Linked DNA regions of Rattus norvegicus. The protein of the gene in region 1 interacts with the protein of each later gene in a pairwise test. Links are inferred from orthologs where the notes say so. Each region holds a gene or a part of one and is shown on either strand. Other genes may lie near its edges. The genes, in order: Glp1r, Slc15a4 and Cd81.

Region 1 (9,974 bases):
AGCTGTTCACAGAGCTCTCCTTCACTTCCTTCCAGGTGACCCAACGCTGGGGCCGCTTGCCTGGGATGTCCCAAAGTGAGGGAGGGTCAGGCACCAGCCTGCATGGCGCAAATGAGAGAAATGGGTAGGCCGAGACCTGGGAGAACCATCCTGACCCTGAGTCTCACAGTGGGAGCAGAGCCAGAGCGAGTGTATTGCTCCCAGGTATTTGGATGTATAAACCAGTCTTCTCTGGAAATCCATAGGACAAGAAGACCTCCCAGATGTGGACCTGGGCGTCTAGGCATATAGAGAAAGGCATGGCCATCCACTAGCATTCTGCCAGGCAATTTATTTATACACACAATACATTCAGTTGAGAGATCGTTCCCATTTGACATAACAGAAAACTGAGGCCCAGAGACATTAAAACAAGATTTACGGGGTGTTCTGGAGCTTTTCCTGGGGCGACGTGAACAGACAGACATATTCATCCCAGACAGAGTACTGACAGCCAACCAGAGAAATGAGTCTACCGAGTTCCATTTGAACCAATGAGCTTGTTGGGGTTGGATACAGGAGCATGGGTGGTTCAAAGACAGCTGCATCATTGAAAAGCCTACCCCACCATGACTGATAACTCACAGAAGCTGCAGCTCTGGAGCTCCCTGCACAATTGGCCGGCAGCTCCATGGAGCAGAGTCTCTTCTCTGCAATTGTTGACTGCTCATAGAACCTGATGGAGGGGCCTTGTATCTTTCTGAACTTCCTGAGTCTTGTAAGTTTCAGGACCTTTCTGGGTCTTATGAGCCTCCCCCTTTCTTCCAGGAAGGATATGTTGTTAGAAGAGCTAGCTGTACCACACAGGGATCACACAGGTTCAAAGCAGGGAGTCAGTCCTCTTCATTAGCATTAGATGATGCAAACGTTGTTGGAGAGACAACTCAGTAATTATGAGGACTTGACTCTTGCAAAGAACTCAGGTTTGGTTCCCAGCATCCGTGTGTTCTTTATTTCTTTTCTTTTTTCTTTTTTCTTTTTTTCTTCTTTTTTCTTTTTTTCGGAGCTGGGGACCGAACCCAGGGCCTTGCGCTTGCTAGGCAAGCGCTCTACCACTGAGCTAAAGCCCCAACCCCCATCCGTGTGTTCTTGTACACTTGCCTGTTACTCCAGCTCCAGATCAGACCTCCTCTTCTGGCCTCCAAGGGTTCCATCACACATGAGGTGCATATAAACTCTACCTTTCTGTCTCTCTGCCCCCCCCTCTCTCACACACACACACATACACACATTCATGCACATACACATATATACTCATGCTCATGCACTTGCACACACACACATACACACACACACACTCACACTCACACAAATCATTTTGGAAAATTGAAAAAAAAAAATAACACCACCTTTGTCTACTCCCAAGCCTGTCCCGGCTGCCTGATCTGTGGAGAGGGGTGTCAGGGGCTGGTTGTCCAGTTGTCTCCTTTGGGCTCCCTTCCTGCTAACATGCCTCTTGTTTCCAGGGCTTTATGGTGGCTGTCTTGTACTGCTTTGTCAACAATGAGGTAAGGTCTGAGGAGGGACAATAGGGACCCTGTGGGGGCTGCTGCCATTGACTGGTAGGGGGCTATGCAGTCTTTCTAGTTGAAACTTCTGATCCTTCCACTATGGCTGAAATTTGAGGTGACATCTTGCCTTTATATTCTATTCTGTGCTCTCCCTGCCCCCACCCCCCCACACACACAGATTGAAAAAAGAGCTTAGGCACCACTTAGCCTTGCATCAAAGGGTTAAAGTTGACTATTTCGGCAGGGGTGTCCAACCTTCTGACCTCACCACATATCACTGTCATCCACAAATTATTTGGACCACCTCCGTCACTATCCTAACATGCACTGGGCCATCAGGCTACAGGTTGGGCGCACCTGATTTATTGCAGAGTGATCCAACACACATGTGCCTAAGCCAGTCTCGTGGCCTCTGCCCACAAGAGCTGTTCTCCAGACCTGGGGTTGCCATGGCAATGCCAGGTACTTGTGACCTGAGAAGATGGCTTGAACATTTGTCTCATGAGGTTGTCAAGGCCTGTACCAGCTGCTGGTCGGGGGGTAGTGGGAACAAGGGGAGGGGAGGGCTGGCGATGGATTGACCGTGGCTTGTGTCAGAGGGGCAAAGTGAAGTAGTCAAGCAGCCCTGAGGGCTCATTCTGTTCCGCGCCACCAAGCTGTGTGACGTCAGGCTAGCCGCCTTGCGGGCTTTCTCTTTTCTACCCAGGGGTCAGTAGAGGTGAGAAAGATTTATCAAACCTGGGGTGCCCTCCGGTACTTAGTCAGGGAGGGCACTTGGAACACAATGCTAGGCTTCAGTGCAGAAAGGGTTAACACTAGATGGTGCAGATGCCAGGCCATTCATTCTTTCATTCATCATTCATTCATCATTCATTCATTGGGTTATTAGCACAGAGAACAACTCTGATGACTGGGACCATCATGGAATAAAAACAAGCAAAACAAAACAACAGCAAAACACTACGGGAGACAGGATGAAGGGATACCAAGTGTTCTAAATCCTGATGGTTTGGCTGCCCCTTGGTGTACCAATTTTCTTTCCCTTCCTCCAAGAGGGAGACTGTGAGAGATTTCCTTTCCTGCAGCTGGGAGGAAGGGAGCCATCTTTGTCTCTATCCCAGCTGACAGCACTCCAGGAGCCCAGCGAGGCAAGACAGCTGTAGGTAGTGTCTGTTCCACCTCCTTCCCTTGCCTTGTGGGCCTTGGCTCCATGACGTCATGTGGGACACCAAGACGCCCTGGCAGGCAGGCGCTAGTTGATCTTAGCTCCACTCAGCCCAGAAGTTCTTGTAAGGGACGGCTTGTGGCCACACAGGGTGTCTGGCTGGGCTTAAGGCTTGATGTATGACTCGGAAAGAGTAAGGGAATAGTGTTTGCCTAGGGGCAGGTAGAGACGTTGGCAGGGAGCCTGTTACACACAGACAGCCACGGCCTTCCTGATGGCTTGGGACTAAAAGGAACACGGTCCCAGACAGTCCAAGATGGACTGATGAAAGCCCAGAGGCTGGATGAAAGATCAGACAACAAGAATAGCTCCCAGAAGAGACATCCAGCCTTCGGGACACGCTGTGCTGGTTAGAACAGCCCGGGAGCCACAGAACTGTGATAGAGCCACAGTGTTAGCACGAAAGCTCAGGGACCAGCGATGGTGGGGGTCCGAGCGACTTTCTGCCCCAGCTGATCCTCTAGCATAGACCCCCGCTGAGAAGTCTCCTCCCCTGGGGAACGCCTGAGCTCTGCACAATGGGGAATCTTGAGTTGGCTGAACTCACATAAACAGATTACCCAGCCAGGCTCCCGTCAGTCTCTCTGCATGGGATGGGTCCAAAGGTACAGAAATCCAGGCCTTGTATTATTCCCCTTGCTTTCTTCACATTCAGGGGAAGGAGGCAGGAGGGTGGAGAGTTCAAAGCCAGCCTGGACTCCATAGTGAGACTTTGCTGTCAGAGTCCAAAGGACAATAAACTCAGACCCAAACAGAACAGAGCAAAAGCTCCTCTGGGAGTTTAGACAACCGAGGGCCTCGACAGGGTTAGGGGTGGGGTGTGCCTTCCCTTTCAGTTGTCCAAGCCACCGGGCGAAGAGCCTTGGACTCCATCTTCCCCAGCGCTCGCTCTCTCTCTCTCTCTCTCTCTTTCTCTCTCTCTCTCTCTCTCTCTCTCCCTCCCTCCCTCCCTCCCTCCCTCCTTCCCTCCCTCACTCTTTCTCTTCCGTTGAATAATACTGTGATGGATTGTAAAAGGTACTTAGCTGAATCACTGAATTTAGAAATGGAAAGGGCCAATTAGGTCATCAAGCCCATCTCTCTCCAGAGGAGAGGCAGAACATAGGAGACAACAATAAACAATTTTATTGGGATATTAATTTAGGCGCCTGAAGACCTTGACTCGTGTCTTGTCATATAATCCAGTGGATTTTTTTTTCCCTTTCCCTGCTAATGTAATAACAGGGCCATTTTGTGGGCAGTTGGTTCGCCTGATGGCTTTTTGCCTCCCTCTCTCCTTTCCCACGGAAGGTCCAGATGGAGTTTCGGAAGAGCTGGGAGCGCTGGAGGCTGGAGCGCTTGAACATCCAGAGGGACAGCAGCATGAAACCCCTCAAGTGTCCCACCAGCAGTGTCAGCAGTGGGGCCACGGTGGGCAGCAGCGTGTATGCAGCCACCTGCCAAAATTCCTGCAGCTGAGCCCCAGTGCTGCGCTTCCTGTGGTCCTTGCTGCTGGCTGGGTGGCCATCCCAGGTGGGAGAGACCCTGGGGACAGGGAATATGAGGGATACAGGCACATGTGTGTGCGTGCCCGCACACCGCACACACACACACACACACACACACACACACACACACACACACACACACGCTTTCCTCCTCCAAACCTATCAAACAGGCAATCGGGCAGTGCCTCCTGGGACCACAGACACATGTTCTCCAAGGAGAACAGCCTGCTAATTTAATCTCAGCGACAGGAAGAGAGGAAGAAACAATTGCTGTTAAGACGAGGAGGACTTCTTCCTGTTAAAGCTGCAAGGCCCTTGGGGTTCCCTCGGACAGAACTGCAAATCAACCCCGGAACTCTCGCTCAAGGGCAATTGCTGACGGGTGGAACTTGGGCTTGCGAGAGGAGGCAGGTCCATGAGAGACCTGCCCTTGGAACCTCAGCCAGCACAGCGCTCATCGAGGTGAGCTGGCTGTGCTGTGTGCACGGCTGGGGTTGTCACCTACATCAGCCTTCCTCTCGGACAAGAGGCTTTTCTCTGTGCATCTGGAGTGCCGCCATTCCTCCATCTGCCCGTTCATCCGCCATCCTGTCTTTGCCTTGGGGAGGGGGGAGGTTTGTTGAAGTCATGCCGTGCAGCTCTTTCTGGAAACATCTGTGGATGGTGTTGAAGATAAGCATGGGGGAGATACAACAGAGGTAGTCTTTGCCCATGCCCACTTCTTGCCTGGTCCTTTAAGCCACTTTGCTCTTGGTTTCTGCCCTGCATGGGTACTACTAGGGCAGGTCCCAAGTTGAGAAGCCCAGAGGTGAGGTGTGAACCCTCAGTTCTGTTGTAAAGATGCTCAAATACCCTCTAAGGTTCATCTAAAGGAGTAACCTGCCTAGGGGTGCTGTTGACCTGAAATCAAGAGGACCAAAGGATCCATTGCCAACACCCCCCATCCCCCACACACACCTCATCTGTGACCAGAGTCTATGCTTTGAATCAGAATGGGCTATATCCTCTGACCTCAGAGGCTATGACCCAGAAGAGATTCTTCCCTGAATCCTCCCACTTTGCACACATATAGACTTTATCCTTCTTCACTCTGTGTCTATTCAAATGTATAATTCTGGTTTCTCTCACCCCACGGAAGAACTAGATCACAGCAACTGTTATGTTTGAGGGAGTGGGGGAGAAGGTGATTGATTTGACCCCCTCTCCCCCACCGGTGTTGATAAGTAGCGTCTGTCCCACCTCCAGACTCCACCCACACATAATGAGCAGCACATAGACCAGGATGGGGGAGGGGGGTGGTATATCATGCTTGCCCTCCTCCAACCACTATGAGAAGGCTAGCAGAAGACACCACTGCACAGACCCAAGTCCAAGGACTGCCTCCCCAGGGAATTAGGCAGTGACTTCCTAGAGGCCAAGAAAGACTCCAAGAGCTGGAGAAGAATCCTAGTCATCTGGATCTCTTTTGAGGTTGGGGTTGGGGTGGCTTTCAATGGATTCTCTCATGAGGCTTATCTCTCCCTCATCCCGTGGAGAGTGGGGGACCCTCCCTAGTGCTCACACTAGACACTGTGCCCCTTGGAGAGGCATAAGGCATGTATGGGAGATAATAATGGGCTATAAAACATGCCAAGCAGAAAATATCTTATCCTTCAAGCTTCAACAGAGTGTTGTGTCTATGTTAATAGGGGAGTGGAACCTCAGGCTAGAGAAAGGAGAGATGCAGCCCCACCAAGTGAAGGAGTTCAGTGGGGGAAGTGGACCCAGGGTCCTCTGCATTCTAAGGAAAGGGCAGGCTTTCCAGCGGGTACCTCTTTCTTGCTCCCACTCTGGGAACTGTGGAGAGACAAGCGTGGGATACACTGGGTACTTTCTAGAACCATTCATTACAACTGAAAGGGAAAGACAGATATAATCTGCCTGAAATAAATTTTCCAAGGGAAAGATGCTGAGAGAGTCTAGGCAACCCAGTGGGAGACTTAATGCAGAGTTCTCCCTCCCCGCCCCCCGGAACTCTGGATTCTCGGGTTCACTGCACCCCACATCCCAAGATTATTAATGCATGTTTCCCTCTCAGATTCCTGATCTGCAGACGTCTTTGCCTTTCTCCGAGTCCCTGTACTATTAATGTTTTTTTTTTTTTGAATGGCACCACACTCCCTCTGAGCTCTTTCCAAACTTGCTTAAGCTAAATATAGCTCCCCCAGGTCTGGGAACAATCCGTTGCTATGTGTTCTGAAATTCCACTAACTGTTTACATGCCTCCAGCCATAAGTCTAAGCCAGGCATTTGCTGAGAACTCTCTGACCACCCCTGACCCCTACTATTGCTAGCCTACAGGGCGTAAGTGGTAGCTTTGTTGGAGACGCACAGCCCCAAGCTTACATGATGGTTGTCAATGTTTGATGACTTCAGCACTCTGGACAGCTCCCGGGGCCAGGGTAAGGGCTGAAACCTCCTCCAAGACTCCTCTATTCTAGTTCAGTCTTTGAACACCTAAATCACCAAAACTTTGCAAATCACTCACACTCCTAGATCGCCTCCCCGTTCGAATGACTTTGTGGAGAGCAGACAGGATTACAGTCACCTCAGCGCTCCTCACACGGGAGACAACATTAATGGGATTCTGGGACACTCTGTGAGCTGGAAAGACAGTTCCTCCGACTTTGGCCTGCCTACAAAAGCCAGGAGAGAGTCTTGCAAGGATGGCTGGGGGCTACTGCACGAGGCTGCCAGTGCAGCTGGGCCTCTGGGCAAGCTAGGTGAAAGCATACGAGGTCATTCAAGACGTGCCGAGTTCGAGTCCTCGTGTGACCTGGGATTTATATTGCAGAAGAAATGGAACAGCAAAGATGGACCCATCTCGTGGCAAAGAGGTGGTGTGAGGAAGCCGGGTGTGTTTTAAAGTCCGCTCTAGTACTTTCCTTGTTCTTGAAATTAAGAGTGGAGAGGCTGGAGAGATGGCTCAGTGGTCAAGTACGTGAACACTTGAAGACCAACATTCAGTTCCCAGCACCCACATCAGAAGGCTCACAAACCCCTGTAACTTCAGCTCGAGGGTATCTGACACTCTCTGTTGGCTTCCACTGGGACCTGCACATGTGTGCCATACACAAAACTCTCTCTCTCTCTCTCTCTCTCTCTCTCTCTCTCTCTCTCTCTCTCCACACACACACACACACACACACACACACACACACACACACACACGCAGTACCTGACATCCTCCTTTGGCCTCGACTGGAACCTGTACACTGTACACATGTGGCATACAAACACCTCACACAAACATATATATACATATATATATGTATATATAAAATTAAAATAAAGTAAAATCTGCAAAAAAAATTAACAAATTCAGAGACTAAATACACAGAGCAGAGGACAGGGTTGATATTTGAGAGTGTGGCCATGAGATCGTTTAATGCCTTAAACGATTAAAGTTCTTCGGACTCATCTCTGTTTGAAATATACTGGTAGGCACCCAAAAGTGACTGAAAGAAATGAAATGGTGGGGGTTGGGGATTTAGCTCAGTGGTAGAGCGCTTGGCTAGCAAATGCAAGGCCCCGGGTTCGGTTCCCAGCTCCGAAAAAAAAAAAAATGAAATGGTGACCGGGAAGAAATGAAATGGTGACCGGGCACCTCACCTCTCCCTCTCCAGTGCTCCCTGAATTCCGGGGAGATCTAACAGAGCACCAGATGGTCCAGCGCTCTGAAGGACTAGCAGACTCCCGTCTTCACTCGTGCCTGAGCTGGCTGTTTTTTAACAAGTCAAGGCCAAGAACGCTGTGTGTGCCTGTGCTTGTTCCGTGCATTCCAAGCCAGGGTGAGGAGATGGCTGGCACTAGATTCAGCCTGCCTCCGCCATGAAGGTCACAGGACTGCACAAGCCAGGGTGGGGCTGGCTGGGAGTCTGACAGATGTGTTCCCTTCCGCGCGCAGACAGGGTTCCCATTATCGCTAATGCTTGCGACGTGCTCAGGGAAGGCAGAATATGTTTCGAAGGTTTTATATCCCATCTGCTGAATTGAGTCTAATCTACAGGGCTCACTCTACTTCGGGCTCCTAGGAGGCAAACAGTTTTTTTTTTCTCCTGATCCTCAAATAATAAAATATAGGAATCGATTCCGCTAAGACAGCTATGCAAATGGCATGTTAAATATTCAACAGGAAGGGAATTAGAATCAACTCTAATGTGGCGAGGTGGAGTCCCCCCACCTCAACCTTTTTTTTTCCCCATGGCTCAAATGAGTTTCCTTGGTTAAAAAAAAGAGGGGTGCGGGGTCCAGTTTGAGAAACGTCTACCAACATTGCCATGTGTCTATACTGTTGATTGCAACCTGAATTGTTTCTCTGGTCCTGGGGAAGACCACTTCTAGAAGTTTCTCTAGTCCTGGGGAAGACCACTTCTAGAAGTTTCTCTAGTCCTGGGGAAGACCACTTCTAGAAGTTTCTCTGGTCCTGGGGAAGACCACTTCTAGAAACACCATTCAGGACCAGCAAGATGGATTAGCAGGTAAAAGCATTTGCTCCAAGCCAGATGGCCCCGGTTTGATGCTGGGTCCCACACGGTAGAGAGAATTGACTCCCAACGTTGTCTTCTGACCGTCACGTGCATGGAGTGACACGCATGCCCTCCCCCCACTTCCACATACACACACGCCCACACAGCAAATGAATAATATGTAATTAAAAAAGAAAAGTCTAAAAGAGTGATACAGACAGATCGCTTTGGAAGATATTTTCTTAAATAAAGAAGCACGGATAAAGCGGCGTAGTTTCGAGAGCTTTTCTTAGTGCCGTGGTGCGTTTAGAGTCTCCATGATTGTTTCTGCTCTGCTGACGGGCAGGAAGCAGATGGGGCTAATGGGAAATTAGAACAGTAAATAAGACACCTCGTTAGGAACCGCAAAACTTACGTCAACTTTTGCTTTGTCGTTAAGGACCTCACTGGGTAGCGCAGGCTGGCCTAGAGCTTCCCTGTCTGAAGGTGAAACAACAGAGGGGGTGGTATTTAAAAAGCATGTTGAGAGGACTTGAGAATCTGTTGGGTATAGTTAGGAAGACACACATAACATAGAACAAGGAGAGACTGGGCTTCCATTCACAGCTCACACCCATCCAACAGGCACGCGTGTGTTCCGTACACACCCATGTAGACAAAACATGCATACAGTAAAATAAATAAATCAGAAGGAAAAAAACGGGTGGTGGCTGCCTTTTGTAATCTGGGCACTTGAGAGGCTAATGCAAGAAGATCACCTAAGTGTGGGCTAGAGTAAGACCTGGAGTGACGGTTTGTATATACTTGGCCCAGGGAGTGGCTCTATTAGGAGGTGTGGCCTTGTTAGAGTGGGCGTGGCCTTGTTAGAGTGGGTGTGGCCCTGTTGGAGTGGGCGTGGCCCTGTTGGAGTGGGCGTGTCGCCGTGGGTGTGGGCTTTAAGGCCTTCATCCTAGGAACCACAGCCTTCAGATGAAGATGTAGAACTCTCAGCTCCTGCACCATGCCTGCCTGGAGGCTGCCATATTCCCGCCTTGATGATAATGGACTGAACCTCTGAACCTGTAAGCCAGCAAATTAAATAGGGTCCCTATAAGAGTTGCCTTGGTCATGTGTCCACTGGCCACACTGCCCAGGAGAGCAGGTAAGCTATCTTCACTCTCTCTCCTCTTCTTCAAATCCATTTCCCAGACCCATCCCCAGCTTA
Region 2 (9,974 bases), on another chromosome or scaffold:
GTTTTGCATGAGGAAGGGCAGCCTAAGCCTGAGGACTAGGGACACCACCTACTGGGTCATGCTCTAAGAGACAACTCTCCCCACCAGAGCACCATGGTTCTGCTCGGCACAGTGCAGGGTATGATACAGACAGGCCCAGATGCCACCTCACGCAGTCTCACCTGCTATACTTGCAAATATCTCACTGATGCCAATGAGCACATACTGTGGGATCTGCCACCAGATGGGCAGGTCAGCAGCATGGTAGACCACACCACCAATGGTCTGGTTGATGGTCTTCTCCTTCACCAAGTCCAGCCTTTTACTCTCCAGGATTCCTGAATAAAGAATCAAGTTAGTGTAGCACTTAATACATTAATCTAAGTTTGCAGTGTATTACAGGAATTTATCAACAATCCTGAAAGGTGCAAGAAAGCAAGGAAGGTGACCGTGACAGCTTCCTAGGCAGGTCCCAGTCATGCCATCCACCTCTTCTTCACTAGAGCATTTTATAGATACTCACTATGATCAGTTTTACCCTCAAGTATTCATTCTGCTCATTTTTTAAGATGTATTTATCTAGTTTAAGCAGTAGTGCTCTATCTGCACGAACACCTGCACACCAGAAGAGGATCAGATCTCATTACAGATGGCTGGAAGCCACCACAGGTTGTCGGGAATTGAACCTAGGACCTCAGCAAGAGCAGCGGGTAGGTGCTCTTAACCACAGAGCCGTCTCTCCAGCCCCAGCCTCCTGTCTTTTTAAAACTGGGAGGATGCGTGAGACTCTATAACTAATGGTCACCAGGGAGAATGAGTGCAGACACTGTGAAGTTACCCATGCTCCTGTAAGCAACCAAAGTTTCAAAGACACTACCACGGGTATACACGTGAAAAAAAATGCTGAATTATCCAATGTGCAGCCCTTGAAATAAATGGGCCCAGTTCTCTAGACAAAGCTCCAAAACCTGCCTCAGTCCAAGAAAATAAAACCAAGGCTGTGGGCAGAACTAAAATAAAGCACAGAATGCGGAGGTCCAGGAGAAGGACAGCACGGCAGGAACATGAAAGGGAGACCTGGAACCCTCAGGAACAAGCTGGCACCACTGGGCCATGGTAACAAACCTCCATGCCCCCAACACAGGACTAACGATCTCCCTCAACTCTACAAAACAAACCTCAGTACCAAGGTGAAATGCTAAAAAGGCCCAAGTGACTTTCAGATCAAGTGGAAATCAAGGTTCTGGGCCAGACAATTCAGTGGGTGAAGGCGCTGCCACCGTCTGATGACCTGGGTTTTCTCTCTAACCCCCATGGTGGAAGGGGAGAACTCAGGCAAGTTCACCTCTCATCTCCACACATGTGCTGTGGTCTGACTCCTCCTCCCCCACATGCACAAAATAAAATGTAAAGTAATAAAAAGCGGAAACCCTACACTAAGCACAATAAACATGGTATAGCCGTAACCACAGGCAAATCCTTGGCCTTGTTATTTTTTACCATTAAACAAGGAAGAGGGGCTGGGAAGATGGCTCAGCAGTTCAGAGCACCTGCTGTTCCTGAAAAGGTTAGCAGACCCCAGCCTCATCAGCACAAAGAATGGGAGGGACAGGAGTGTCTCAGGACACTGTCCCATGCTGGACTGTGGTGTGGGACCTGAGTGACTGACTAGTTTAGCTCTTCAGCTATTGAGACTTTTGTTGGGAGTGTGCGAGGAGCCTGGACCAATCCCATAAACCCCTTTTCTCCATGCTGGGACAGTGGCGGCTTCACCAACTGTGAAGTCAGAAGCCTGCACAGAATCTCCTCCTCTCATTCCCACTCCACACCAAGTGTTGGCCTGCAGGCTAGGGCAGCGCAGGGTAAGTCTACTCAGTCCTAGGATGAGGATTTGTCCTTGAGAAGAAAATGACACTTGTAAAACACTCTTCATCAAAAGATGAAGTCACTGGCTACCCAGTGTCTTCAGCACAGTACACTAGCTTCTGCATGATACAGAAGCCATACTGGGACACGGAAGGGAGGAGAGGCCAAGAGAAATGCTGGCTCACCTGCAGCAAAGGCAGAGCATGTGACGAAGAACATCCCCACGGCAATCCTCTTCAGGGAGGATGGGAGCAGGCCGTGTCTCCTCAGCACCGGGTCCACTAGCTTGTCCTTCAGTGGGATGAGCAGGAGGATGAGCACCGCATCAAACATGGTGAGCCAAGCTGCAGGCAGCTGCACAGAGCGCGGCATTAGCTTCAGTACAGCAGTTCCCCACACCACCCACGCACGGCCTCTGAGGTGCTTCAACTAGAGACTGGCCGCAAGTGTGCTCTGAGCTGGCGGAGGGCTAAATCTAACAGTGCTAGTGTTTAATGGCACTGGACAACCCAATCTCAGCAGGTTGTAACTAAGTAGGAACTAGTTCTAGTGACAGAGTCGCAGCGACCTGCTGCAGTTGCAGAAACAACTCCTGCCACCTCCAGGTCTCTTACCGTGTGATGGGTGGTGGTGATACTTGAGATTTCTGGAATCTTCAAATGAAGACTCTGTAAAACATATGTGGTCTGCATCTGGATAAAGAAAGCAGATGCTGCAGGTGAGCCAGCAGGGCCTCTCCAAGTCCGTCACACACCCTCCCTCCTCTAGCTGAGGTGTGGCAACTCCTCTTAGAATCAGATGGCGGCTGCAGTTTGGAATCAGACATGGAATTTATTGAGTCACCATACAGCCTCTTTGAGAAGAGCTTCCAGGCCACCAAATGAGAAGCTGGAGGGGCCAGGAAACCAGAAGTACACCCATTCTCTGCTGCTTCTTCAGAACGGTTTTCCCATACAAAGCAGCCAACCTGAGTTCATGACTGGAAACTATGGCAACTGATGGACAACCCTGAGCCCTGCACTGTGACATCAGCCACAAGGCTCGGTCAGCACTCACTTGGAAATACACTGTCCAGTAAGGAATCAGAGCCAAGAACACGGGCACAATCTTGACCAGGGCTTTCACGTCTTCCACTTTGTCCTCTATGAACGGCCCTCCATGCGACATCTTACATGAATCAAACAGACTGTGTTTAGAAGATTGCTGAAAGACTCCAAGGCCTTCACTTTGGGAAACAAAATGAAGGAATTAGTTTACTTCCATCCCCAGCAACAATGCCCGGTAACAAATCACGTCTGGGGTGGGAAAGCGGCTCTGTGCACTGCCTGCTTTAAGTCCTCCTACAACTAACTGTACTCCGCACCGGCCCTTGGAAAAGATAACTGTGTCCACTGTACCCACAAGGAGGGCATGTCAACCTCACGCAGCTCCACAGAGCAGCAGTGTCACCTGGACTTCTAGCCAGCCGACAGTAATCTGAGCAATCCCAATTTCTCTTGTGACTATACTGGCTTATCAAACAGGTAGACACTCAAGGGACTAGAGGGTGCTCTGATGGCTGGAAAAGCAACATCTGTCTCTGGGATGAAGAGACCCATGATGGGCACTACACTAGGGTGAGGGGAAGGGGAACTCATTCATCTTTCTCACACGCCTGGAAGTCCTGCAAGGCTCTTATTGACCCATTTCAAAGAGGAGGTTAGGACACAGATTAGACAAGAGCTGTGTCAAGATCCCAGTGCCTCAGGGTTGGGATCAGCACTGGAGTGAGGCCATCTTGGCTGACAGGTGTATGCCTGGACAACCACACCTATTCACATCACACCATGAACATCCCTGCCTCTCCATCTGCAGTCTTTAAAAGAAATGAATGAGACCCTCCAGGCAGTGACACGGTCTTCCCCAGCTGCACAATACCAACAGAAACTGTAGGAAACTGCACTGTTCCCTGCAAAACCAAAACCAATATAAGACACTCAACCCCGCTGAGAGCCTCCCAACTCCAGACCTTGGAATGGCAGTTGTTTGCATCCAAGTTTATAATCCTAGGCCTGATTTCCCTGAATTGTCACATTTTAGATTATTTGATTTTTTTCCTATTTAGCACGTATGGTTGGCGTAGATGTATGTTTTGTCTTCCTCACTATGGAGCCCTCACTGTCCTGCAACTTGCTTCAATATACACCGAGCTGGCCTCAAACTCAGAGATCTGCCAGTCTTTCTGAAATTAAGAGCATGTGCCAACACACCCAGCTTGCCTGCATATATGTCAAGTATACTGCAGACGTGCCTGGTGCCCTCAGAGTCCAGAGGAGGACCATGGATCCCAAGGAACCAGAGCTGTGGAAGACTATAGGTGGTGGGAACCAAACCCAGGTCTTTTGGAAAACCAGCAGGTGCTCTTAACCACTGAGCTGTCTCTCCAGTCCCTTATTTTTGTTCTATAAAGCAGATGCTCTTAATCTCTGTATTCCAAGTCAGAGAAGATCGAAAAATTAAAAACCATAACTTATTTAGTATTTTAGCAAAATCTGATGAGGTGAATCCCTGCTGCCTGCGCAGTATCACAGGGACTAGGTGAGAGGGATGCTGGGTCCCGGGTTCCTGTACTTACTTCTCTTCATTTGAGAACATCTCTAACTTCTTCAAATTCCTACTTACCTAGGATGTGGCAGGCCTCATCAGGTACTAGGCTGCTTACCTCACTGTACTGAGGCCTCACAATAATCCTGAGAGCAGCCCAGCAAATATCAAAGTCAGACACTCTAATAGTCTCTGAATAGCCAGGGCCCACAGCAAGTTCATACAACGTAGCTGCCACCTTTCCCACTCTTGTTGCTTAGTTTTGTCCCAGAGATTTCCAATGCTGAAGCTCAGAGGAAGCCAAGCCGTTCAGTCTCACTACTTTTGTGTCATATGCACACCAAAACCCCACAGGTCCCAGAGCAATGCTGGCCCCTGACTGAAAGGCTCTCATCAGGGATATCTGCTAAAAGCTGTCCTGTCCCCACAGAGATCAATCTAGATTAGAAACAGTTAAGGGCCGCAACAAAAGCTTCTGTCTGACAAAGTAAGGCCCTAGCAAAAACCAGGGTTTGCTGGAACTGGGTGGTGTCCAGCTTTGCAAGTTCCTCAAGTGCTAGTTCCCCTCCAGACAGGGTCTGAAAGCTGCCAGAGCACACAGACTTCCCAGTAGGTCCATGAAGGAAGTTGGGACAGTCAGATTTCACCCAAGGGACTCATGTGCCATCAGCAGAGCCACAGGAGTCACACTGTGCAGCTTCAGGTCTGCCACAAAACGGCTTCCAGTACGGCTATGACAAGCACACAAGGAGATGTGCACACTGCCCTGCAGAGTACTTTTGCTAACAAGGCCATCCCACAGGAAGCCCTAAGAATAAGGAATCTACGTTTCTCAGTAACTACCAGGAATCCTTAGGTTCAGCAAATCACAGGGAAGGAGTTGACCACCAAGGTCCCTGGACTCTGGTTTTCTATGCCTTGATTGCTAATGGCTACAATACTACATCTCTTATGTCACAACCACAGTCGAGTAACCATTGTACTATACATAACACAGAAGCATCTAAGTCCTTCGCAGGCTGATTTCTGGACGTCATTAACCTACATTGGGCAGGACCATGGATCACCATCAGCAGAAAAAGGGGGCATATCTCAGAATATGGGTATTTCTGAAAGTTCCAGGTTGGGATCCCTGGCACTGAGGCTATACAAGCCCCATTCAAGTAGCGGTAAAGGGCTCCCAAGTGCATCTCAAGCTATGATTATGTGCCCCTCTATTACACAGTAGATGGCATGGCTCTGTGCTGACCAATGTGAGAGACAACAGCTTCCTTTTGAGACAAGTACCTACAACATACATAACAGCTTAAGTTCTCATTAACACATTTCTGTGTCTAAAGCACACAATGTCTCCATGATATCCTCTGCAGATCCCTACCTTCACGATCTGCTACCCAGCAGCAAGGTACCCTTACCCATGTTGGCAGTGAAGGAGTTGGGCAGAGTATTGAACTCAGGACTCTGCTATTCTAATGGAGGGGTTTATGCCACACACTTCCTCAATGAAGCCAGCTTAAAGATCAAACACAAACCACACTCAGCCCAGCCCTCAGCTGGGACTTTCTCTGCAGGGAGCAAGTGTCACTCACCCACTTCTCCGCTGCCCTCCTCTCTGGGAGCAGCAGCTGTAGGTCAGAATCCTGAACATGTCAGTGAAGGCACTGCCATCAGGAGGCTTGGTGATGAAGACACTCTGACCACAGAGGAAGACCAGGAAAGCAATGGCCACGCAGACTGTAGGAATCAGGTAGCCTGTGAGAAAGCTCACATTCTGCTGAATATAGGCAATACCTCCTAATGACAGGATTGCTCCCAAATTAATGCTCCAGTAAAACCAATTGAAAAATCTCCGAGTGGCCTCTGGACCTCGATCTTTGACCTAAAGTAAGAGAGAAGAGAAATGCATGAAAAAATGTGATCTTCTACACTTTCTGTTTACTCTTTAAACACGACAAGCCATAGTGTTTTCATATGTAATGACCTCCCAACCACCCACAGTAGCTATAAGCCCTGTCACCACACCTACATAGCACCTGATCATCTATAAATTGAGAGCAGATACACAGGATCTCAAGTTCTTGCTCTCAGCTGATTATAGCACACAGTCAAAATGCTGTTTACAGATTCACCCAGTCTCCTGACAAGTCATCTCACATTCAGTCCTTCAGAGAAGTTGGGTGCCTCTCCAAATGCCAGCAAGTCCTAGTGCTCAAAGAAAGCTGACCATCTACCATGAGGCCACCAGGAATAATCCTTGAAATAGGGTCCAGAAACCACAGCCTGGCCCGGTCCAGTCCTGCAGAATCATCATGCAATCCTGAGCTCCAGACCTTACTGCACTTAACACGAATACTATGAGAACCTGCCACGCAGGCTCTGGCCCCATGCATAGTAAGGCTTGCTCGGAGGCAAGGCACAACTCCTGCATGGTACCCAAGCACCAGAGTCCTTGGCAAGCCTACAACTAAGCTGTAAGCACAGTAAGAGAAGCTCACAAGCTAGCATTAGATTAGAAAGGTTACCCAGCGGTGCACACCCAGCATTAAAGAGACAAAAAACAGGGGACTCATGAGCTGGAGCCTGGCTGAGCTGTACAGAGAATCTCATCAACACATTGAAGACCCCACTTGGTGGTATCTGGGCAGAGGCAGCCCTAACCTTGCTTCTCCCACCTGTACTGTTTACATCTACCATGAACACTATGAGAATGGCCCCAATCCAACTCAACATGGTTCTGGGCAGTCTCATTTCACAAACTGTCTTGAGCAAACCCACAGCCAAAGACTGCTCGGAGCACATACATCCTTAATGGATGGAAAAGGTTAAAAACTGGCTCTATATCTATCTTCTGGTCCACAGAGCAAGTGCCTCTTGCCTAGAAACAAGCTTTAAACAGTAACAAAGCTACCAAGTGTTAAGGCTTCTGCTTGGCATTCATGGTTCCCCACAGAGTATTTTAAGATTAAGGTGAGGGTGTAAACTGAGTATCCCCTGACAGTTATTAGACTCCAATGACAGCTACTACATTGGCAAGCCCAGTGTTTGAATTCAGTTAGATGGTTACAATCACATTAAATTGAAAAATCCAAGTTGTTGGTTTGTTCTTTTCTTTTTTCAGGGTTATTTTGAACACAGGTCCTTGCGATGTTTAGTCCTTTACCACTAAGTGCCATTTCCAGCCCCCAAACTGACCAACAACCACAAGCACTTTGTTGGCCTACACATCAGTTCTGAACAAAGGCCCCATTCTAAAGGTGGACATCACTAAGAACAGTTTATATTTAGTTTACGGCTGGGACACGATGTCTTTAAATGTTACCCAATGGTGGATATCAATGTTCATGACCAGTGGAGGCAGGCCAAAAGAAAAACCATGAGCAATAGAGAAGATAAAACTCAAAGTACGTATACTTTATTATTTATACACTTCATACATTGAATGTATAAACGCCATATACACAAACATATGTCACTGTTTTCACAACCTTGAGAGAAAAAAGGACACTTTACACAAGAAACAAAAACAAAAGCACACCTCTTTGGACATGGGATCAGTTGCCTACGCTGGTCTCAAATTCCCCAGCTTGTATGATCCCCTTGCCGCAACCTCTGGAGCAGCTAGAACTACAGATATGCACCACAATGCTCAGCACATTACAGGAAACATTACAGATACTAACTGAAATGTCCCAGGCCCTCCCCATTACTCATAACAGAACCACACACATCTTCCCACATTCACAGAAACAGCTCTCTCTCCAAACAGTAAGGGAATACCCATTCAATTGACCTGACATATGGACCTTTAAAGTCCTTATGTCCTTTGAGAACTTGGTCTAACTTTACTGTCCAAGGGTTACAGACACAGCTGCTTTATAAACAGAGGCCTACTCCCAGTGCTTCAGTAGCCACAGGACGGCTAACTGGATTGTCACATGCCTCTCTCTGCCCTTGGCAAAAAGCCACAGCTTCCCCATGTACCAGTCCCATGACATCACCACATGACCTGCCAAGACTAATCAAACTCTTCATATGCCCCGGCCAATACCTCACCAAAGCCAAAAGGAGAAGAGAGGCCAGCCGGCAGGGCAGAAGGGAGAATGGGTTTAAACAGAGAAAGGTTACCAGATAATCCCAGGACTACGAATTTCCGCTGAAGCAAAGAATGCCCGCCATCTACAGAGTCAGACCAAACCACGGAGGCAGCACTGCCTGCTGCCTAGTAGCTTCTTCCTCTCAGCTACTTTTAATCTTGTTTTCAGTGCTTCTTGGTTTAGGGTCTCGAGTAATCCAGGCTGAGCTCCAACTTCCTGGGTAGCTGAGGCTGGCTTCAAACCCCTGATCTTGCCTTCCAAGTACTGGAATCATAGGCAAGCACCTAGCATTCAGCTTACTTTTTTAGAATAATCGCCAATCAAGAATGACAGTGACCTCTGGCATTTTGTAAGCACTGTGAAAAGTAAAGAGCAGATGAATTCTGCCTTAAAACAAACCGCTTTCAGAGCGACTCTACGACTTCTACACCCAGTGTGAACTGACCTAGTACTCCTGCTCACAGCCAGTCAGGCCCACCTCCCACATGAGAAAGCCATTATGGGGCTAAATCCAGAAACAAGAGGCAGCACCAGTCAGAAAAGCAGAAGCACCGTAAAAACAGCAGCACACTCACTGCTCTCACAGGGAAAGGCCAGCAAGAACCCACCCCATGCAGAAAACATAGGCAGAGCACCTCCCAGCCATTTGGCTTCTCCTGCAAAGCAGCAGACATGTTAAGTACAAGGGAGGTCTTGAAACCTCTCTCAAGGAGCAGTTCTGAGGCAGCAGAGAGCAAGTGCCTCCATAAAGATCCCAGCTACTTACTAAAGATATCATTTACACACCACAAACTGAACCTAAGTGTGGACAACCATCTTGTGTGTTCAGAGTTGTAAAGCCACCCACCACTGCTCTGCCCTGCAGACAGTGTCAGCTCACCGGATGTGTGAGCATCCCTCACATTCTGTGGTGCTCAGTCCCCAGGGGAACCTAACCCTCTGCTGTGGGTGAACTGCATTGTTACAGATGAACGAACAGACTGCACTAGGTCAGCTGTTCATCCACAGAGGGACCACACCTTTTCATTTAAATATTTCAAAGTTACAGAAAAGTTGAAAAAAAATAGGAATGTACCCTTCTCTTTAGCTTTTTCTTTCCTATTAAAAATATAACACCCTAGACCAACATGATGAGATGGCTCGGCAGGTTAAAGGCATTCTCAACAAGCTTGAAAATCCAAACTCCATCCCCAGAATCTGAATGATAGGGGAGAACTCACTCTTGCAGGTTGCTCTAACCTCAACATGAACACCACAGCCATAGGTGGACACATACACAAAAATGTATAAAAGAAGCAGAGGCAGAGGCAGGTAAATCTCTGTGAGGTCCAGGTCAAACTGATCTGTATAGCAAAGTTCCAGTCCAGCTAAACAAATAAATGTGTAAAATGAGGGAGTTTAAACTTACACACACACTCATTTTCATTCTCCCTCCCTCCTTCTCCCCACCCC
Region 3 (10,629 bases), on another chromosome or scaffold:
CAGGATTATGTTGCTTCCTCCTTCTTAAGGACTAATCCATAACAGACTCAAACTTTAACAAGATGAGGAGCTGCCAAGCGTGCTGGGTCCCTGCCCAGCTGGGCTTGTGGTTTCCCAGAAGTGACTGAAAGGGAACAGGCTTGGGACAGTGTTCTACTCTGTGCTAGCTGCCCCCTGCCCAGCCTTGGCCCAACCTCAGATAGGGGCTTCTCTGAAGCTTTCCCATTGCTACCCACACGAAGCCCACCAGGAAGGGACAAGGCTCCTGAAACCAGCTTGGTAGGTGTGAATGTTCACCCAGATACCCCAAAATGCTCCATAAAGCTCACTGTAACAATAGCTTGTTCCTTTAAGTGACCCTTCGTGCCACAAGAGAAAAACCAAAGGCTGAGGGTTGGGGCTTACTCAAAGCCTTTTGGGTACGTGATGCAAACTGGAAGGTGTACCACAAAATGCCTGCCCACCTAAGCAATTTGGAGGTGCCAAGGGGTTCCAGGAACCTCTCCTGTGATGGCAGAGGCTGTGGAGACCAAAGGCAGTGGCCTCAAGAGGCCTTCCCTGGGCGACTGGGATAAGTCAGAGTTAAGAGGTTCAGAGTGTTTTTAGGGGCATTGGTTAGGTAAAGAGGCTAACTTAGGTGCTGCCTTAACGGGGGTCCTGGCATGTTCATCTCATGTGTTCAAGGCACCACAGGAGTTCAGGACCTGGTCTGGGGCATGGACGATGGGGACAAGGCCAGATTCTTCCCTGAGAGATAATGGATCTTACTCAGGCCTTCCTAGGAGAGGTAAAGACTTGCAGTCAACCAAAGGAAGCTCAGGAAGGAAGCTAGAGAGAGAGGCAGGAATCCTTGCTTTGGCCAGGAAGTATGGTTCCTTTCACAAGGCCCCTTGCCTCAGGAAGCCACTGTCCTAGCATCTAAAAATAGGCAGTAAAGCAAAAGCCTAGCTCTGGGGCCCAACTGATAGCCTGGGGGTGGTGGTGGAAAGGGCTAAGGCATGGCCACGGGAGAATACACTGCTGTCTTGAGGTACAGGAGATTGGGCTGGGCCACTCTACATGGTGCCACACTACACGGCTCCTTCTCAGGCAAGGAGGCTAGAAGTACCTTCCCCACCTGTCCTGTACCTGCCCTCCTCTAGGATGAGTGCTGCAGAGGATCCAGGGAAGCCTGGTACCCAGAAAAATACAAAGGGAGGCAGGGGCTGAGAGTAGGCAGAAGCTCTACATAGCTCTGGCATTACCACCAGCAGCACCAAGAGGCTTCCGTCTGTCCCAGGTTAGGCAGGACCCTCTGTCTCAAGGCCAGGCTGCGGGGCTGACACAGCTTTACAGGCCACTTTGACTATGGAACATGGCAGCACAGTGGAGTGCAGTTCTACCCTATCCCACTGCTTCCTCGAGCGGCAGCTAGTTGCTTAAAAACCTCAGTTCCCTTATCACCTGCAACGGGTCTGATAACAGTCCAGCAGAGTGTTACTTTGGGAGAGCTGAATGAACTGTTATCATGGTCTCCAGAGTACAGGAGAAGACTGTTTCCTGGGGCAAAGGCCAGGCCATTCCCCTAGGATGAGGACTTTTAGCCATGAAAAGTAATGAGAGTCCAGGTGATGGTGGCACAGTACCTTTAATCCCGGCACTTGGGAGGCAGAGGCAGAGGCAGAGGCAGGGGCAGGGGCAGGGGCAGGGGCAGGGGCAGGGGCAGGGGCAGGGGCAGGGGCAGGGGCAGGGGCAGAGAGGAGGCAGAGGCAGAGGCAGAAACAGTGGCAGAGGCAGAGGCAGAAACAGTGGCAGAGGCAGAGGCAGGGGCAGGGGCAGAAAGGGGCAGAGAGGAGGCAGAGGCAGAGGCAGAGGCAGAGGCAGAGGCAGAGGCAGAGGCAGAGGCAGAGGCAGAGGCAGAGGCAGAGGCAGAGGCAGAGGCAGAGGCAGAGGCAGAGGCAGAGGCAGAGGTGGAGGCAGGCGATCTCTTGTGTTTGAGGCTAGCCTGGTCTACAGAGAGTTCCAGGATGGCCAGAAAAGCTCTGCCTTGAAAACAGACAAAAAGAGTTGTGAGGTGAATGAACACTAGTGGGTGGACGGCAGTGATAGTATATGCCTGTCACACTCCACAGTATGTGTTTGTCACACTCCACAAGCCCTTGCAACACAAGGTCCCACTCCAGAGCTCAGGGATGGGCTTCAGGAGGACAGGTGGCCTGAGCTTCCTCATTTCCGCACCCAGCCACACCAGACATCTGTAAATACCATTGGGACCTTACTGCTTAGCTGCAGTACAGAGCCAACACTGATGCTTGACCACGGGTGAAAGCACAGCTAAACAAGTCACAGAGGACGCCACAGACCCACCCTGAGAAAGTGCTAATGACCCAAGCTGACATCGTGTATGGAGTGACCCGTGAGACAGTGCAAGGGAAACACAGGACCCTTGGGGGCCCTATTACCCAGCATCTTCTGCCCAAATTGCCTGGTTCCCAGGCTCTTGGCCTGGATTACCAACTCAGTGCTTTGGGGCTAGAAAACTATGGGTGTCCTGGTTCTAAAGCACCCCCTGCACTCCCATCCCTGAAGCTCTCCCCAGACTCCACATGAAGGAAGGCAGTCTCCCTCTCCCAACACCCCCTTGCAGTTACTTTGGCAGCCACTCCAGGATGCCCACCACCAACTGCTTGATGCCCAACCCCTTGTGAACAGTTCCCTCAAAGGTAGAGCCCAAATAGTTTGCATAACCCATGCTCTGCAGCTAGCCAGGCAGAATAGCTTAGACTGGATCTAGAAGTGTGTTCTTTCTCTCCACCCCCACCCCCGTTTGTGTGTGTGTGTGTGTGTGTGTGTGTGTGTGTGTGTATGTTTGTGTTTGTGGGGGAGGTACTAGGGGTCACAGTCAGTCACTGGCGTGCCAGGTCAGAGTACTAAACAGTTGAAGGTTACCAAAGGCCACTTCTCGGGACACCTAATTCTCTAGCAACAGTCCTAGGAACAAAATGGGTACCTATAGGACCACCCAACACTCACACTATGTCCTACCTGATTCCCTGGTGTCAGGGCCATAGGTACCTGAACCCTCTCCCACGAACAAGGGTGATTTCCTGTTCTCTCCCTAGGGCAGCTGGACCCTAAGCCTTTTACAACCGAGGTTCCAATCCCTTTGGCAGGGCTCTGGGTGCAGGAATCAAGGTTGGCAGTTGTTGGTATGCCCCTAGAGCGTCACAGAAGCTCTGTGTGAGGTAGGACGGAGCTAGAAGGCAAGTGCAGAGAGAAAGCCAGAAGGGTCCAGAAAGAATGGGGTCTGGGCTCTTACTATGAGGGGGCAGTGTGTGGAAACCAGAGTAGAGGATATCAGGGGGCTTCCCACTTCTCTACTCTAGCTCTGTGCCCCCCACTGCTCGGATGTCCTTTTGTGAAGCCAGTCCAGGGATGAACCAGACTTCCCCCTCTCAGGCAGCCCAACCCAATGATTGTCTTTCCCAAAGCCAGGCCAGCAGACAGCCTGGGGAAATGAGGGGAAGTCTGTTCTTCCACTGGTGAACCTAGGCACAGGAAGTTCTCATTCTACCCTGAGCCCACAGGATTGGAGCCCCTCTGCCGGAAGGAAGGCAGCAGACCGCTGGGTGACAGACAGTCATGTTCAGTCTGGAGAATTAAATGCCAGTTAAGAGGCTGTAATCAGCCTTTTGTGGTGGGTCTGGCTGCCTAGGCTACTGGAAGGGGGCCACCAGCAGCCTTAGGCTGGAGGAGCAGCCAGTTCTGTGGGGGAACACAGTGAAGATTGGTGGCAGCCTCCTCCCCTTAACTGACTACTCCTATGGAGACATTATCACACAAAGTTCCTACAGACCCACCCCAAGCTATAGGCTGGCAGAGCGATAAACCATCCCCTGCTCTCTTGCCCTATTCCCAGCCGGAGTCAGGAGACTGGTCCCTTTACCCCCAGACCTGTCTCAGGGACAAGTAACTACCCTACTTCTAAGAGCATCTTACATGGTCTCTGCTGCACACCACTCATTTTTCAGGTTTGTGACCTGCCCGGTATATCTTGGGAGTCTAGAACTCTGCCAGGCCCTGAGTAGGTTCTGAACTCAAGCCCAAGGAGGACTGGTGGGAGTGAGAGTGTGCAGGCAAGGGTGCCTGGAATGTCCCCTCCCACAGAGAAACCTCTTTAATCTTCAAACTGGAAATTTTAAAAAGTGTCCATCGAAACATTTACTGTCAACCGAATCTCCCTACATAAGAGCTCTTAGCCCCCATACCCACCACAGGCCCACAGGACCTCTCAGCCCCCTCCCTAGGCACTTCTTACTTCATTGCTCAGCTTCTCTTGGCCCCACTCCCTCTTGGATACTGTGCCCAGCATCCATTTCCTGAGCCTTCTCTGCGCCAAGCCCCTTGTTCCACTCTGGAGTGCATTAGCTAGTCTACCCACAATCCCAGGAGACAGAGACCCCAAGAACTCTCACTTTAGAGGGGAGAAGTGAAGACCATGGACCAGAGTGATGGGGTGGGGTTCCCCAAAGGTTCAATTTCATGACATCAGGAACTATAGTCACAGGACAGACCTTGCTACATGGGGCACAGAAGGAGCTCCTCTGCCAGGGTGGTGTTCACCAGATGTAGCCTGGCTCTGCACCATATCCTACTCACTGTGGGGCCAACATGGGTGGGGAGGAGAGGGCTATGGGATTGTGAAAGGATACAGTTTTTGCTGTTCTGCAGTCAGTAGGCAGGCCCCTGGGAGCAGGGAGAGGCTTTAGAACCGTTTCCTGGAGCCTTGATAGAGAGTACCCCAGGGACATGTTGGCACTCCACCCCAGCTGCCTGGGAAACAAGCAACCTCACCCAGCCCCAGCACTCCAGGGAGCCTAGGGGGTTCTGCCAGTTGGATAAGGTGGGTGGGCCAAAAAAGAAATATCTTGCAGGGTCCTGACATCCCACATCTGAGGTGTAACGGGGGTGGGGAGGTGGATAAAACACTTCTTGGGAGTGCATTTAACTCCTTGCATGGTTCAGAGTAGACAAACACTATCCAACATGGCTACCCAGTCAAGAGCCCAAGGCATGCCCGGGCAGAGCAAGTTTAGCCCCATCACCCACGCTGCTCCCCTCAGTGTGTTCCCTGGAGTCACTGTGACTGGTCCCTGCAGCAAGTCGTGCAGCATACATAGCTCCAGCTGAGTTTAGTCCAGTCCCTGCCCATCCCTCACATCTTATTACCCTCCACCCCACCCACACCCCCCCTGGGATCGTCAGCAGTTCACGATGGAAAACAGGTGTCCCCTGTCTTACACACTCACTCTAGGGGCTGTCTTACAAGTTTGCCCTCCCAGCTTCAACTTTAGAGACACACTGCCTTGGCATAACCTCATTTCTTTCTGGGAAGGAGGGTGGTGGGAAGAGCAGTCTGTGCACTGCAGTGGGGAGGGTGGCACCACTGTCCGGAGGAGTGGCCAGCACTGCCCACTCAAGTCCCCGCTGGCAGGTCTGTTAAGACTCCCCATTCCCAACCTAGTCAGGAAATGGAAAGAAGCCCATATGTAAGTAACCAATGGTTACTCGCAGCAATGTAGACAGTCGGGACCCAGGGACACTTGGAGACCCTCCTATACCCATGTCTCCATTCCAAGATGACCACATGGGTGTGCACCTCTTTCCAAAGTGGAGAGCCCAGCTTAGATTCTGTATATATGAAAAGATCCCAAGCCCCTGGTTTGTACAGACCCAAGATCATTGCACCACCCTGGCCTGCACCAACTCAGAATGCCCTCTTCCTTTCAAAAGACTCCACAGGATCTTAAGGGCCAGGCTGGGGCTGTAATCTGTGCAGGAGACGACAGACAAGGAGGAGGGGCAGCTGGGGGGATGGGGGTGGAGGTGGTTAGGAACTGGGGCACAGTGAGCAGCAGCACGCGGCCCGGGCCACCCTGCCCTCTAGGTCTGGAGCTCGAGCATCCCAGGGTGGCAATACCAAGCTAGAGGGTAAGCAGGGGTGGTGTAATAGTGGGGTTGATATCTCCAAGGCAAGTATGGAGTGCCCCCACCACTTCGAGGCCGCCTATTCAGGGGCGGTGGCTACGATGAGCTCATGGGGGCGGGGCGCCAAGATCCCGCCCTTCTCGAGCCCCCTCACTGCTCGAGAAGCAGGATGGTCCCCAAAACAACGTTCAGGAGGGTGCGAGTACCCCCTTCACAGCTGAGGGCTCTTGATTACCTGGCTCTAGCCCGCAGACTCTTGCACCAGTTCCCAGCACTCAGAGGGGACAGGCGAGCGAGCCTGATTTCCCGGCCCCAGAAGCCCCTCGAGCGGAGGCCCGGAAGCTCAGCTCTCGGCCCTAACCCCGCTGGCGAGGGGCGCCAGGACCCCAACCGGCGGTCGGAGCCCACAGGTGGCGCCGCAACTTCGCGGTTGCGCTGCGCCTTCTCAGCTGGGCCTAGCGCGCTGCCCGGCCTGGCTGCCGTGGGGTGCGCCCCGTCCCCAGTGGCTGCTCACCCAGAAGACGAAATTGAAGACGAAGAGCAGGTATTTGATGCATTTGGTGCAGCCTTCCACCCCCATGGCGGCGCGCGGCCTGCGGAGCTTGGGTTGGTCCTGGAGCGGGCGGTCTGGGGACGCAGTACCGGAGTCCGGGACTGGAAGATAGCCTGGGTCGCTTGAGGGCCGGAGAACTGCGGTGCGGCTATTGAGACGTAGGGTAGAGAAGGGTTGGAGGCCTAGCCGGAGGCGCTAGAGTCGCTACCGCTTTGAAGCAAGGGCGCGCTCGCTCAGACCGGGCGCGCGCCGAGCTCTTCACTCTTTATAGACCGCTAGGTCCGGCCCCTCTGAGGCCCCGCCCCTAGGACGCTCCGCCCCTGGCCCCGCCTCCCGCCTGCGGGGTGCCCGGGCCAGGGGTGCTTGGGTGGGTGCTGCCACCTCAGTCCCAGAGTAAGTGTTCGGGAACTCGGTGCAGCTGGTTCTTGGGGCCTGGGTGCACTGTGCCTGCGCAGGATGAACCTCCAGGTTTCCTGAGGGTTCCCAACCCTCGGGGCAGGTCCCTGGGTCGTGACTGAGAATGGCACCCCCCCCACACACACACACCCCTCCCCGAAGAAGCCCCACTTACTTCCTCCTGTACTTGCCTTGGACTTTCCCAGAGGGTTCTCTAGTAGAGGTGTCTCGACAAAAGGTCTTGAAAGTTAGCATGTTTTGTTTATAATGATCTCCCAGGCAGCAATTCCGTGGACTTGAAGGTCTAGAATGGAATTCTTTGTAGCATTGCTAATCCTCTATCTCTGCAGAGTCCCTGGCTGCAGTTCTGGAGAGTGCGTTTGGGAAGGTCAATAGTGTACCCAATGTCTCTAGCCAGTCTTGTGTCTGGAGAACCCTCAGGGGCACCTTCAAATACAATATTCATGCCATTCTGGCTGTGCCTTCCAAGAGTCCATCCTCCATCCTCTGGCTGGTTTCCTGAGAGTTGGGATTATAAGGAAGTGAGGAAAAATTCAGAGGGTGGAGGTGCTCCCTTCCCAGGTGAGGAATGGCTGCTGTCGCCATAGATAATATTCCTGTGAAATCTTGGCACTCCCTTCCCCAAGCTGGAAGGCAATGGGGCTTCTTCATCAGCAGGGACTCACTGGGAACCACAGAAAGGCCAGTTCTCAAGACGCAGCCTTTTCCAGTTCACTCCATGTTCTTAAATCTTTGGGCAGTTAAGGACATGTTCCCTATGGGAATCACATCTGGCACCCCTCTGGCTACAGGCACTGGAAATATGTTCAAAAGGAATACATATATATGTAAAAGAAATGAATATATGTAAAACAGAGGAATATATTACAAAGGAATGTGTATATATATATATATATAGAGAGAGAGAGAGAGACAGACAGACAGACAGACAGACAGAATATCTCACTATGTAGCCCTGCCTCCTGGAACTCACAGGGCTCTGCCTACCCCTGCTTCTTAAGTGCTGAGACTATAGGTGTTCAGGACACCATGCCCAGTAGTCTAAAGAACGAATTTGGAACTTTGTATAATATACATGTAAACCTGATGATTGGCCAGTAGCTTCCCGGGTGGAGTTACTCTCTCTACTCTGCTAGGCTAGTAGGTTTCTTGAGTTAATTTGTACATTTGGCTTCAGGCTGGTATAGCTGCTGGTATAGTAAAGGATTTATGGTTCCTGGAGGCTGACGTGGTGTCACAATAACAGTAACTCAAGCTACCAATGCTGGAGTAATATCACAATAAAAGCCATTTGAGTCCCCAGGAGGGAGTCTCTGAGGATTCTTTATTATTCTTTTTATTAAAAGGGGGACAAGAATAATTCTTGCATGTGCAGAGATGGGCACCTATTTTCTCATCAGCTCTCCACTGTCTCTAGTGATGGGGATGCCTCATGCCTAAAGTGGGATTACACATTGAAGGTCATGCAGGGCCAGCTGTTTTGTCTATGTACAGTGTGAAACATCTGGGTTTTAGTGGATGCCATTGTGTTCCCAGAACTGCTCCTAGTGCTATGGACAGCCTAGGAGCCAAGGCTACTACTCTCTTTGAGGCCCTTAGGCTCTGGTCACATACGTGCCAAGGAGAGAATTTCCAAGATGTTTGACCAATCATGGTGGGGAATTTTTTGTAAAGCAGTTTTCCTCCAAATTAAAACATTCCTTTCTGGAGGGAAGGTATTAAGACTTAGGAAATGAACAACTAACAAGTTTCAGATGTTCCTGAAACTTACAAGGCCCTTCCTCTCTAAAGATAAATAATTAGGAGGACAGACAATGCTTTGACCTATTCAAGTGCCTTTCTCCAGGGTTCCAGCTTTTGTGAACCATCACCTATGCTGAAGTTTTTGGTGATATAGCTCCCTTTGAGTTGTCTCTGATGCTGTAAGTAACCCCTCGTCCATACTCCTGAAATAGCCCAAATCAACTGATTGGTTTACCAAGTTGGGCTTTGGTAAGATCTTTCTCTGGTCTATTGTCAGTTCCCTATCTGGAGTGAATGGATGTTTATGTTGCATCTTCCCAGGAAATAGGAACACATTTATTAGACCTGCACTATGTGTCTTAGAGGAGCTAAGATGGCTCCAGACTCTCACACCTGAAAAGCCTTGTGAAAAGGGCGAGGTACAAAAAAAGGAAGCTTTTGAACCAGGAACAGATATAGACTGAAGAAGGCCAGGCAGGTCTGAGTTAGGTGGAAGGCAGACTTAGGCTGCATTCTGTTCCGATTGAAGGGGTTGGTGTAGGGAACAATCTCATAGGTTCCAGGAGACTTGCTGAGATGGCTGGTTGGTTGCAAGAGTATGTGGGACTGCCTTTCAGGACCTGCACCTGTGAGTACCACATCTTAAGTGCCTTGCCTAACATCCTGCCAGTCTGGCCTTATGAGGTCATGGGGGGAACAAAGAGGCCCACTTGGTAGGACATGTGTCCTACCCAATGTGCACCCAAGAGTGCATCAGAAATTGTCCTCTGTGGTTAGCTCGGCCTGAGCTTTCTGGGTTCCAAGAAACCAGTGATGGAGGCAGATGTGCTGTGTTAAGGAATGGGGGAGGAAGCCCAAGCCCAGGATAGGAGGTTTCTCTTTGCTTTCCCTTGTCCACCAGGAAAGTGGGAAGAACAGGTCTTCATAGCCAGGGCTTGTCTCAAAATTCTCCTGACTGTATGACTTTGTACTGGCTTCTCAGTGTCCCCAAGTGTGACAGAGTTGCTGCAGAGAGTCTCTAAGTGCATAAGGGCAATATGTCCTTGTCACTTACAGCAGGGCCTGGTCTGTGGGAAAGTCAAGGTCAAGCCCTTTTTGGCCCAGTCCCAGAGTCCTGTGACTCACTCCACAGAGGAGTCCTGCTGTGTGCATTTGGCAGGAGGTAGGGGATTTTGTTGCAGAACCACTCTTGTTTCTTAGTTTCCTAAAATTTGTGAAGACTACCCAAACTGGGCTACTTATGTAGGGCTTGCTCAAGCAAAGAGGTTGGCCGCTGCCATTACTTCTGCTTGCTAGAAATTCATATGCAGGTCAGGGAGCAAGACAGCTGTGTACTGAAAGATCTCAGCATCCAAAAACAGCCGAGCAGTGCCAGAGAAAACTCTTGTGAGCATCTCCACAGTCATAGGAAATGCAGTTCTCTACTTTCCAAGCGCCACAACTCTCCTGATAAAATACTTCATTCAACAGCAATAGAAGGGGATCTGTCCTCCAGACCTGAGGAAAGACTGAAGATTCATACAAGTCCTGTACCTATGTCTTCTCGAGGAAGACTGAAGGCTCCTCACCCACAAAATCCAGGCAAAACAAGATGAAGTGAACAAGACAGTCTTGGCATTTCTCCCCAGGGTTCTGGGAAGGATGATCCGGCAAGAAGGAAAAATGCCGTTCGGGATTGGATGCTGGTAAATATTTAAAATCTCCTGTGAGACAGGCATGTTGTGAGGGAGTTTCTAGACTGGGTTGACTGAAGAGGGAAAGCCCACCCTAAGTGTGAGCGGCACCATTCCATGGACTTGGGATCTATACTGAATAAAAATCAGAAAAGTGAGCAGAAGGCCAGTAGTTTATCTCTGCTTCCTGATCCTGGGTGTTATGTAACAAGCTGCTTTCCCTATTGTTATGAACTATACCCTTGAACTGGGAGCCTAAATAAATCTTTTCTTCTT

What was found.
Region 2: the proteins of Glp1r (region 1) and Slc15a4 interact in a protein complementation assay, tested with the Homo sapiens proteins (2 studies listed by BioGRID). The link is inferred for Rattus norvegicus from reciprocal best matches to the Homo sapiens genes GLP1R and SLC15A4.
Region 3: the proteins of Glp1r (region 1) and Cd81 interact in a protein complementation assay, tested with the Homo sapiens proteins (2 studies listed by BioGRID). The link is inferred for Rattus norvegicus from reciprocal best matches to the Homo sapiens genes GLP1R and CD81.

The regions. Positions count from the first base shown.
Region 1 is NC_086038.1:9,005,733-9,015,706, forward strand, and holds the end of Glp1r (glucagon-like peptide 1 receptor precursor), read left to right. Parts: coding exon 1-35; intron 36-1,505; coding exon 1,506-1,547; intron 1,548-4,065; coding exon 4,066-4,233; 3' UTR 4,234-5,890; downstream 5,891-9,974.
Region 2 is NC_086030.1:34,703,201-34,713,174, reverse strand, and holds part of Slc15a4 (solute carrier family 15 member 4), read right to left. Parts: intron 9,918-9,974; exon of another isoform or gene 9,797-9,917; coding exon of another isoform or gene 9,743-9,796; intron 6,308-9,742; coding exon 6,018-6,307; intron 3,071-6,017; coding exon 2,902-3,070; intron 2,538-2,901; coding exon 2,460-2,537; intron 2,200-2,459; coding exon 2,031-2,199; intron 318-2,030; coding exon 162-317; intron 1-161. UniProt on the Homo sapiens protein: Proton-coupled amino-acid transporter that mediates the transmembrane transport of L-histidine and some di- and tripeptides from inside the lysosome to the cytosol, and plays a key role in innate immune response.
Region 3 is NC_086019.1:207,661,463-207,672,091, reverse strand, and holds the start of Cd81 (CD81 antigen), read right to left. Parts: upstream 6,796-10,629; 5' UTR 6,548-6,795; coding exon 6,482-6,547; intron 1-6,481. UniProt on the Homo sapiens protein: Structural component of specialized membrane microdomains known as tetraspanin-enriched microdomains (TERMs), which act as platforms for receptor clustering and signaling.